Pelodiscus sinensis: one gene and its partners. The protein of the gene in region 1 interacts with the protein of each later gene in a biochemical or structural test. Links are inferred from orthologs where the notes say so. Each region holds a gene or a part of one and is shown on either strand. Other genes may lie near its edges.

The links.
Region 2: of the proteins of GTF2E1 (region 1) and CDK7, one has a biochemical effect on the other in vitro, tested with the Homo sapiens proteins (3 studies listed by BioGRID, with this or other methods). The link is inferred for Pelodiscus sinensis from reciprocal best matches to the Homo sapiens genes GTF2E1 and CDK7.
Region 3: the proteins of GTF2E1 (region 1) and TAF6 form a complex in vitro, tested with the Homo sapiens proteins (2 studies listed by BioGRID). The link is inferred for Pelodiscus sinensis from reciprocal best matches to the Homo sapiens genes GTF2E1 and TAF6.

The regions. Positions count from the first base shown.
Region 1 is NC_134711.1:142,369,738-142,373,482, forward strand, and holds the start of GTF2E1 (general transcription factor IIE subunit 1), read right to left. Parts: upstream 2,321-3,745; 5' UTR 2,182-2,320; intron 1-2,181. Other genes in the region: RABL3 (rab-like protein 3), read left to right, coding at 2,401-2,536.
Region 2 is NC_134716.1:88,002,613-88,006,357, forward strand, and holds the start of CDK7 (cyclin-dependent kinase 7), read right to left. Parts: upstream 2,126-3,745; 5' UTR 2,026-2,125; coding exon 1,966-2,025; intron 1-1,965. UniProt on the Homo sapiens protein: Serine/threonine kinase involved in cell cycle control and in RNA polymerase II-mediated RNA transcription. Cyclin-dependent kinases (CDKs) are activated by the binding to a cyclin and mediate the progression through the cell cycle.
Region 3 is NC_134734.1:7,580,357-7,584,101, reverse strand, and holds the start of TAF6 (transcription initiation factor TFIID subunit 6), read right to left. Parts: upstream 2,659-3,745; 5' UTR 2,529-2,658; exon of another isoform or gene 2,487-2,528; intron 2,383-2,486; exon of another isoform or gene 2,268-2,382; 5' UTR 2,253-2,267; coding exon 2,094-2,252; intron 1,294-2,093; coding exon 1,207-1,293; intron 698-1,206; coding exon 544-697; intron 410-543; coding exon 353-409; intron 1-352. UniProt on the Homo sapiens protein: The TFIID basal transcription factor complex plays a major role in the initiation of RNA polymerase II (Pol II)-dependent transcription.

The sequences.
Region 1 (3,745 bases):
GGCTTTTTTGTGCAAAACAATACTGCATTATCTACACTAGCCCTCTTGCGCAAAAGCATTTGCACAAGAGGGCTTTTGCCTGAATGGAAGCAGCACAGTATTTCCGCAAGAACACTGACAATCTTACATGAGATAGTCAGTGTTCTTGCGGAAATTCAAGCGGCCAGTGTAGACAGCTGGCAAGTTTTTCCGCAAAAGCAGAGAACTAGTTAGTTGAAGTGGGATAGGAATAAGTATCCCAAGAAAGGTGGGAGGGTAAGTCCTGTCATTTGGTATCCGAGGTAGGCATTTTTTCAGCAGCTGCAAACTCATGTCTCATCTGCACTCTGGCTATGTCTACACTGGTGGGTTCTTGCACCAGAAATATGCAAATGAGGCTAAGCTTGGAATATCGCCAAGCCTCATCTATATAGCTAATGAGCCGCCATTTTTGCAGAAGAGGCTCTTGCACCAGAAGGAGCATGTACACTGCCCCTTCTTGCTCAAGAAAAACCCTCTTGTGCAATGCTGTTATTCCTGAAAATAATCAGCGTAGAGGCATTACACAAGAGGGTTTTTCTTGCGCAAGGGGCCGTGTAGCCTCATTTGCATATTTCTGGCACAAGAACCCGCCAGCGTAGACATAGCCTATGAGTGTTGCCAGAAGAGGCACTGCAAATGAAGTGCAGATTTGCATTTTCTTGCACTGCATTTGCATACGCTCTTCTGATCAGTTTTTGCACAAAAACCAGCAGTGTGGAGATTTCCTTTTTGTGCAAGAACCCCTTTTTGCGCAAGATTGGTTACACCTTTTTTGAGGCATTAGGATTTTTTGAGGCAAAAAGGGGGTTTTGCGCAAAATGGAAGCAGCTATGCTGCTTCTTTTTGCACAAAAACAACAGACAGAAAATATGCTAACGACAACCTGAGTCATATTAATGAACCCCTCATTAGTATATTTTCTGCAGCAAAAGCTTACAGTGTAGACAGCCTCTATCACTCACCACCTCTTGGTCTCATATGAGACCACCTATTTACTCACCACCTCAGTCTCTTATGGCATTCCTTCCACCTATTGGCTACGTCTACACTGGCATGATTTTCCAAAAATGCTTTTAACGGAAAAGTTTTCCGTTGAAAGCATTTTCGGAAAAGCACGTCTAGATTGGCAGGACGCTTTTCCGCAAAAGCCATTTTCGCGATCGGGGCTTCTTTGCGGAAAACAGTCCTGTGCTGTCTACACCGGCCCTTTTGCGCAAAAAGTCTTTCGGAAAAAGACTTTTGCCCGAACGGGAGCAGCATAGTATTTCCGGAAAAGCACTGACGATCTTACATGAGATCGTCAGCGCTTTTCCAGAAATTCAAGCAGCCAGAGTAGACAGCTGGCAAGTTTTTCCAGAAAAGCGGCTGATTTTCCGGAAACACTTGCCAGTCTCTTAGACACAGCCATTGTGTGTGTTGTTTCTGATGGTTCCCCCTCCCACTGTATTAGCTGTGCTTTTCCTAAACTTAATCTCCAAATCTATTATAGCAGCCTGCCTAAATCCCCCTTCTATAATTCCTCTAACCTAACCATGTATTTCCTTGCACCCCATTACTTTTCCCAAAATCTCCTTTTGAATATTCTTTATTCTTAAGGCAAAACGCCTGAGTTCTGGACCTGGAACTACCCAGCAAGCTGGCTAGCAGAACAAGGTGTAAGCAGCGACTAGGAAAGCAGAAAGATGAGGGAAGAAAGCGATCCGTCTCTCACGCTGAATAGTCAGGAGCTGGCGGGGGGGGGGTGGGGGAGCCTGATGCCAGGCAGAGGTCCCCCGCCAGCAGACGCTTCTCAGGACCAGCCTCTGGACCTGAGAAGGAGCATCAATGGGGCCCAAAGGGAGGCGCTCGGGGTTGCGAGGACGCTGGCCCGAAGCGCGCTGCCCCGAGGGGCGCACGGCCGGCTTCGCACAACGCACGTGGCGCGTCTCGCGGGGCTGCCCCGGCGCCGTTTAACTCCCCCCGCGCGCCTCGGTCCGGCTGCAACAGCCAGAGAACGTGGCTTACTTCGGGCGGGGGGGCGGGGGGGGAGCGAACCGCCGCTGCCTGGCCCTGGAAACGGGGGGTAAGATTTCACTGCGAGTCGCCCCGGCTGCAGCGCACGGAAAGCGGCGGCGGCGGCAGCACCAGCAACCGCCCCCCGCGCCAGAGCACGGGACTGACCTGCCTGCCGGCCGCTCCGGACTGGCTCCGTCTCCGGGCGGCGCTTTCGGCAACTGCGTCACGGCGCGTCATACGCAGCGCTCGTCGCACACCAGCCCGGCAGCAGCGCACCTTTGTGACGCACACACGAGGCACCCCCACCCTCGCCACGGCGCGAGCCTGTTGGGTCCAACCCAGTTGGGGATAGGAGGCGGCGACGCTCCCCAATCTCCGGCTGCGATGAGCATTGACAGGAAGGCGCACCAATTGTTCTCTGAAGAGCTCACTAGGCCCCGCCTCGATCCACATTTGCCAATCAAAAGCGAAGACGGCAACATAGAGGCTTGCGGAAGTGAGGGGACAGCCAATGGGATGAGTGAGTGGTCCGAGGGGGCGGTGCCGGGAGACTGTTGCTAGGCAGGGTAAGATGGCTGCGTTAGACAGGGTCAAGGTGCTGGTGCTGGGGGACTCAGGTGAGTGAGGGGTTTCCCGCTTCACCCCACCTCCGCACAGGGGCAGTCCCGCCTGGTGCCTTGCAACGGGAGCGAGTGTCCCAGCAAATCCCCGCCCCTTCTCCCCCTCCGCCCCCCGACGTCGCTAACGACATCCGGCTCGAGCTTGCGCAGTGGTGCAAGTCAAAGCTGCTGTCTTGGAACGCGGGCCCTGCCACGTGCCCCGGCTCTGACGCGGCTCCCTCCTCCACCCCCCCCACCCCCCCCGTAGGCTGTGGCCCAGCTCTGGCGCGTGGCTCCTCTGAACGTTCCGCCCTTGGGCAAAGCCCGGGCCAGCGCTAGGGCTCCGCTCCGGCAGAAACGGGGGCCTAGGCGCGTGTGGAATGGAAAGGGGGCGGGGGGTGACCGTTGGGCAGGACGGTGCAGACCCCACTGGCCTTCCCTTCCCTAGTGGGTGCCCGCCCTCGTGTTTCCTCGCCCGCCTCCAGCCCCCTCGCTCTCGCCTGCCGCTCCTCTTCAGCCTGAGTCTGCTAAGTCCCCGGGGCCGGGTAGCAAATGGGACCTGCTGTGAGAAACACAACTCTAGTGTCAAAACACCCCGCAGCCCTGTGGGGTACGGCACAGCCCATTGGGGTGTCTGGGCCGGTTTGATGGCGCTTACAAAAAAACTCAAAAATGTTGAGTCAGAGAAGGACAGATATTTCCAGGCAAAAGAAACTCTCATAAGCCAGCAAAAATAACGGGACCAACTGGAGGATGGGGAAGTACAGCAGCCACTGTGGAGTACAAACCGAATGGACGATGCTTTGAATTTTATACTTTTCATAGTCATCCAATTTTTGCTTAAACCTGTGTTCATTGTTTGGCTCTGCACTTTGACTGAAAATCCATTCCACCTGTTAGTCTCGGCCTTGTAAAATTCTGTTTTCTCTTATATTCATGTCCACTTGCTCTGGTCTGTCTGGAAACTTCAAGTAGATTGTTAAACTATGGCCTATATTAACATATGAAATATTCTGAATTATGAGCATGGTGTAAATTCTTAGATGTAAGCTTAATTTTAGAACAAGTCCCAGTTTAAATTCTTAAGTACTTCAATTATGTCGCTTTCTCATTGTCCACTCTTCACTTCC
Region 2 (3,745 bases), on another chromosome or scaffold:
CCTAGGTCCTAAAGGTGTCGGATTATCGGAAGTTTACTGTAATTTCCCCTAACATCCAACCTAGACCTCCCTTCATTGCAACTTGATAGAACAAAGAGCTTCTTCTATGGACTCATCTAATAGCCTGTCTCCATCCTCTTTGGAACCCTCCTCCACTTCAGTAGTTGAAGGCTATCAAATTTCCCCTCATTCTTCTCTTCTGCAGTCTAAATAAACTCAGGTCCCTCCACTTCTCCTCATAAGTCACGTGCCCTAGCCTCCTAATCATTTTTGTTACCCTTCCCTGGACTCTCTACAATTTGTCCACATCTTTTCTGTATCGTGTGTGTGCATGTGAGAGAACAGGATACAGAACTCCAGATGTGGCCTCCCCAGTGCCAAACGGAGGGGAATAATCACTTCTTGATCTGCTAGCAACGATCCTGCTAAGGATGTCGATGTGTACTCAAGTACACTGTTTACCAATATGCCTGGGCTCACTGGTTAGCCCACAGTTACACCCTTTCCCCCCCACCTCCGCTGTCTCTATCAGAGGCAGTGGAGGGGGAGGGATGGGAGATGGGAGTCGGTGTGTGTGCAGAGCTGGCTTTTAAGCTGGCTTACTGCAAGCACCAGCTCTCGAAGAGTCGTCTGCCCCCCTGTACTGCTGCCTCTAATACAGAGGCAGCAGCACGGGGTGGGGAGGGGGCAGGCAGGAGCCAGTACGCGGGGGGAGCCAACTTTTAAGCTGGATCCCTGTGAGCACTGGCTCCCTTCCCCACCTTCACCTCTGCGGGAGGCAGTAGTGGGAGGATCAGACAGATCCTTGGGAGCTGGCATGTGCGTGGAGCTGGCTTAAAAGTGACCTTAATAGGTAGCAGATGGCATAGTCTCACTAAATTTGTCTCTTTCATACCACGGAAACAAAACAAGGGAACAATAATATTACAACCTAAGTCATATGTCCAGAGTATAATTTAATTTAATGGACTGCAGTTGCCAACCCACAGCCTCTACACCTAGTCACACCTTCTCAATTTCCTCAGCCTCATTATAACAGAGGCTAGGATGGTCCTCAGCAGACACCTCAACCCTTGGCACAGGCCAGTCCCAGCCCACCCTCTTCCAAGTTGCAACTCCCACCTCTCATCCCATAGCACTGGCCAGCCCTGGCTCCCCTACCGCCACCCCAGACTAGCTAAGTTTCCCTTTATGTTGTGTAGCCAGATGGCCATGCAGCTGCCTACGAAGCCTTGTGGAGAGGCTCAGGACCACCACACAGAGTGCTGCCTCTGCCTGCTGGCCCCAGCACAATCCTGGAGTAGCTAGGACAAAAGCCCCTATCCTCACCAGTTCTAACACAGAGCTTCTGCAGAAGAGATACCAAGCCAGCTCTATGCCAGAGCCTGCAAGGAGGGGTCGAGCTCCCCTGACCACAGCAGTTCTATTTTGGGGCCTTTAAGGCACACCACTCCCTTGGCAACAGTGTCCATCCCACTCTGTTGGGGAATCAGGTGTCCCTTCCCAGATCCCAACCCAGAGCCTGGAACTCCCCCAGTTAGGGGACAGGTGTCCCTGCCCTCGCTGTGCCAGCTGGAGCTGCAACAGCCCTGGAGAGACACCTCTCGCCTGGACTCAGGCCGCTGCGGTGAGAGGGCTGAAAGTCTCCTCTCTCCCGAGAAGCCTGCGCCCTGAAACTCTCCTGCCCAGCCCCACTCCAGAGCCCACACGCCCAGCCAGTCTTCACCCCACATCCCCACCCTCCGCCCAGCACTCAGGCCCCTCTCACACCCACCCCGAGCCACACGCTGTCCGGCTGCGGATCGACTTCTGCTGCGATACAGCAGCTATGGGATTGGTGGATGTAACGGGAGTCACTCCCCACACGGACACCGCAGCCCGGCTTGGCCCGACCCCCTGCCCCGAGCCGAACCCCCCAACTGGCCAGCCCAGGCCCCTGTCCAGACACCCCCTCACAGGCCTCACCTGCCCCTCGCCCAAGAAATCGAGCTTCTCGTAGCGCTTCGCTCGCATCCTCGCGTCCATCACCAGCCGAGAAGAGGAACCGGACCGAGGGGATTTAAAACCGTCACTGCTTGAGCGCCGCTACTTCCGGCCCCCACGCGGAACCCCGCCCCGTTTCCGAGCTTCCGGCGCATGCGCCGTCCCAGCGGCTGCAATGAGGTGTTCTCGCGGCGCCAGCGTCCCGCTCTAGCAACAGTCACTAAGTAGCCCGCGTTTCTCGGCGGTCTTAGGTTCCGGCCCTCTCGGAGTCCGCCCCGGGTCAGACACCGGCCGCGAGCGGGGCAGGACGGGTCGCGCGGGGTCTTACTGAGCATGGCGGGGTGACCAGGGCACTGGACCATTGCGGCCCGTTGAGCAGCTCCGGGCGGGGAGCTTGCCTGAAGCCAGCCGAGCACGCATACAGCCCGGCCTCACCAGGCTCGCCGCTAGGGACGGGGGCGGTTCCCATAACGAGAGGCAGGGACACCAGCTTTGGGAAAAGGGGCGCTCGAGCCTGAATTCAACTCTCCCCGCCCCCTCGGACACTCACCAACACCTTCCCCTCTACCAGGTTGCCACTGAGACACAGCTGCAGGCCTCCCCTTTAATTTGTAGAGGTGTGAGCTCCTTTAAAAGTGCACTTCAGCGATATGGGCTGGGGGTGATAGGCATGGATCACAGTTGACAAGTCACAACCTCTTGCTCAAGCCTAGGTGGAGCCAAACCATTCCTGAAGAGTACTGCTATAAGATTATTCAACAGCAGAGGAGGTTAGAGGAATAAAATATTCAAAGTGATTTTTTTTGTTTTGCTTTATTGTCAGAATTTAGGAGTATGGTGGTCTAAAAGGCAGAATCCCATCACTTCATTATCTGGTTTTTTTAAAAAGCTCTCATCAAGCTCAGTATAACAGCACTTTATGATTAATATTCCAGCTCTCAAGTGGAATCATTTTCAGGAAAATTTGGACAGAGTATACTCCTTCGAGTTACTTTCATCCATGTTTCACATCCTGGCTACGACCTCCTACCAGTGCTAGTGGAATGTGCACTTGATTTAACAAGCCAGTTTATTAGAACTATACAATTAACTCTTGCAAGAAACTGCTCTTTTTATTGCATGCTCTGCATTTCAGCATGGTATTATCCCTTCTATGCAACCATTCAATTATACTGGAAGTAGCAGCCAACCTCCAGTTAGAACTGGTCATATTGACACATTAAATACACTTAAACATTATTTTAAAGCACTAATCCAGAAAAGCTCAGTGTGTGGATATACTTATTCTGGCCTAAGTGTTGAGAAGGGGAAGCTGTTCAAATTTCCTCAGGTAGACAAGAATTGAATTAAACTCTTTTATTCATCCATGTGTAAGTAATGCACAGTAATCATATGAACAAATTAATCTTTGTTTAATATACTCTTCAGTATGTTTTGGCATCCCCATTTTGTACTTTGGGAAAAGAACGGTTTGTGTTCCAGAGCTCATGACTAGTAATCAGGAGATCTGGTTTCTATATTTTTTGTTCTGACAGAAAAACTGGATTCTATGTTCCTTGTTCTGACAAACTTCCATGACCTTGAGCAAATCATTCATCCTTTGTGTGCTTCAACTCCCCTGTTCAGACAATTATTTCCAGATTTCCCCTTCCCCACCTTCCACGCAGAACCAAATCTTTACCTTGCTTTAAGTTATATGAGGAAGCTGCATACCAAATTTGGTGGTCCTAGCTCTTACCCTTTAGTTCTTGAACAAATGGAG
Region 3 (3,745 bases), on another chromosome or scaffold:
GGATGGAGCGGCTGGTTACACAAGGACCCCTCGCTCAGCGCAGAAATGCAGACACCTCTGGAATGGGGCAGCTGGTTACATAGGGACCCCACATGCAATGCTGAAATGCAGCTATGTCTAGGGCAGGACACAGGACAACATCAAGGGCACTTCTCAGTAGGAAATGCATTATCTTTTGACCAGGCTGCTGGATCAGTCTCTAGTTTCGGGGACCACAGCAGATGGCACTTGGAAAAGCTTGTCAGTCACCCTGCTCTGCAGACCAAGCGCCCAGACAGAACAGACACGCAGGAAGCAGACAACTCAAGTCCCTGTGGGGCACTGCACCTGGACACCTGGCTCCACAACTCACCTGGGGGCGGATTCTCAGGGATGGCGGGCTGAGTGCCTTCGATGCTGAGCCAGTGAGCTGAAAGGGAGCGGAGAGAAGGATCAGGGGCAAGCAGCACTGCAGGCTGGGTGCTGCACCTCCCGTTCCTTGCCCCCACATAATCCTTTGCTCTCCATGCCCCCTCATCCCTGTCTGCCCCATGTTGCCCCCACCTTTGAGGCACACGTCCAGCGGGACACGGGGCAGTGGCGTGTTGATGATGTCGCTCAGATCCACTTCTTTCTCTTCATAGAAGTAGAGCTCGCGCCCGCCCCCACTGGCATAGCGGAAGGGGATGAACTCCTGGGCATGAAAGCCATACAGCGGCTGTGGGGAGAGGGACATAGAGGGTGAGCTGGAGTCCCCATGTCAGAGCCTTCCCTTGGCTCAGCTCCATGGCTCTACCTGCCTTTCGGCACAGCCCCCGTGCTATACATGCCTGGCTCCCAACAGTAAATACAGCCTGGCTCTGTGGCTCTACCTGCCTTTTGGCATGTCCCTTGTGCAATACACACCTGCTGCACCAGGGAGAGGAGCACCATTTTGTCCTTGGGAAAACATATACCTATGCTGGAAATTGTCTCCCTGAATGTTACATGCGCCCTACCATAGTGACCGGCAGGGGGAACCTCCCCCCCCCAAAGCTCAGGGGAGTCTCTGTTCTAGGAATTCAGGCCTTGAAATCCATGAAAAGCCCCTCTGCACTTCAGAACTGTCCTCCCCTCCCCAGCACCAAGCACATGGCCTTACTCAGATGGCCCCCAAGCCCACAGGACTCCAATGCCAGCCAAGAGCCTGCCCCACAAGCTCCTCGGGGCTGGGACTGCCCCTTTTACCTCCACGTTCTTCAGTTTCAAGGCATAGTCCACGTCGCTGGTGGTCAGCTTCCGACGCTTGCCCATGTGCATGAACTTCAGAGCATCCTGCAGGCAAATGGGAAGTGAGGGTTGTCTCACCCCTCTCTGCTCCAAGGACCCTCAGGCAACCAAGGGCAGGAGCAGAGCAACTGGGAGGTGGAGGCATTGGGTGCATGAGGTTCTCCTCGGGCCAGAAACTGGATGGGAGGGTCTTGGGACAGCTGGGGGCCCTGTATACCCGTGTGATTTCCATAACCCACCAACTGCTCAGGACAATGTCCGGGGGCCCACAGCTGGGTGATCTTCCAAAGACAGGGAAGTGAGGCAATGCTAGGGGCAGAGAGTGCCTGTGGGACCCCCTGCCCATACATGGGCAATCTGCTGGAGCCGAGAGGATGTGGCAATGCCAGGGAAGGAAGGGGAGATGCCGTGGACAGAGGAAGATTAATAAGACTGGGGCATGTCACCTTACAAAAGAGGAGACTAAAGAGGGATATGATGGACGTGTATAAAATCACAACCAGTGTGGACAAAGTAAATAAGGGAAATTATTTACTTGTTCCCATAGCACAAGAACTAGGGGTCATCAAATGAAATCAATTGTTAGCAGAATTAAAGCAAACCAAAGGAAGTAGTTTGTCACACAGCCAACCTGTGGAACTCCTTGATGGAGGATGTTGTGAAGACCAGGATTTTAACTGGGTTCAAAAGAGAGCTAGATACGTTCACGGGGGTTCTGTCCATTAATAGCTATTAGCCAGGATGGGTGGGAGTGGCTATCCTAGTCTGTCAGAGGCTGGGAATGGGCAGCGGGGAGGGATCCCTGTTCCGGTCACTCCCCTCTGCCGAGGACGGGGTGCCCGTACCTGGGTGATCTCCTTGACGCGGTAGCTGACCTCGTCGGCCAGCAGCTGGCAGGTCTCCTCGGGCACCTGGGCGATGCCCACGGCCTCTGCCATCACCTTCATGGACTCGGCCGGCAGCAGCGTGTGGCTCAGCTTCGCCTTCTTCTCCTCGGCCGCCATCGCGCCCCGCCGCACCTGCGGGGAGGGGGGTGAGACACGGGCCGGGGCGGCGGAACCTCCCGCCACTGCGCGGCCCGGACCCCAAGGGCCCCATCCCCCACCTGGCTGGCCCCGCCCCTTTCCCTAGCCCCTCCCCTAACTCCCGCCCCCCACCGTGCCGGCGCCCCTCCCTCTCCCGGCAGCTGCACGCCCGCGCTGCGGCGCAACCTCCTCGCCCCCGCTACATTCCCCCACCGATCCCGGTGCCGCGCTACACCCCTGCCAGGACCCGAGCACCTCCGAGGGGCGGGGCCAGCCCTGGAGACCGGCAGGCGGGCAGGGACGCACTGCGCAGGCGCGGGATGGGGCGCGGGAGGAGGACAGTGCCTGTGTGCGTGGTGCCTCACAGCTAGGACGGCGCCTGCGTGCCGCGCATGGATTCCTTTCTACCAAGCATGTGCAACATGGCCAAGTGCGGAAAACATGCGCGCTAGCGCCCCAGCCTTTGGTTGATGACGCGCATGAGCAGTCCAGATCCCTTTTTTTTTAGAGGCACGCCACATCCCCACGCATGCGTCGCTCTCCCGCTTGCTGCGCTCTGCGAGGCGCCTACTGCTCATGCTTCATCCCCTCCCTCCCCTTCCCCCCTTAAAGGGCCACCGCGGCTATTAGCAGCCTTAGCCTAGGACTGGTGCGGGGCTACGCGGCTCCCCCTGCTGGGGCTGCAGCTGAGGAGGAGGAAAGGCGAGCCACCCCCTGCGAAGGTAATGGGGGCGCGTCTCTTAAAGGGGCCATGGCCTGTGTGGGGAGGTGAGTGGAACTGCTAGGGACTGGGGTTCAGGCCAGCTGTGCTTTGCAAGCTAAGATGGGGAAGGGAGCCATGGTCTCCTGAGATATCCACGTGGTCTGTATGGGGCTGAAAGAACCAGGCCAGAGGTGGGGACACAGCCTCAGTGTAGAAATGGCAGCCGTCACTAGCAGATCCATATGGGCTATATAGGAACTGGGGGTGGGGGACAGGGCATGGGGCATTGCATGGGCAGCTGCTAACCACCTGGCAGTATGTAAGTACCTCGGAGGTGCTGGAACTGGGGCAATCAGAAGAGGCACATCAAATACAATATGTTGTAAGTGTAGGTGCTAGGGTCCGGGATTCCTGGGTTCTCTCCCTGATTCTAGGAGGGAAATGGGGCCGGGGAGCATTGAAGGGGAGGAGTTGGTGTCCTGAACACCTGGGTTCTCCAAGCCCTTTGCATGTCATAGGTTGCATGGCACATGCCCAAAAACCCAGTTTCCTTTTCCCCACAAACTCTAGAATTTCTCTTTGACCAACTTCCAAAAGCAAATCTTCCCTTTGATAATGAAAGGCTGAAAATTTCCATCCACAAACCTTTAGCTTATTGTTTTTAGACCAAACCAGGACAAATTCTCCCTTTGCACAAACCCTTGCAGATTTGGGGCCATTTTGCCTGGGAACTGACCTTGATGGTAAAGTGCTGCTGGCTGAAAAGATG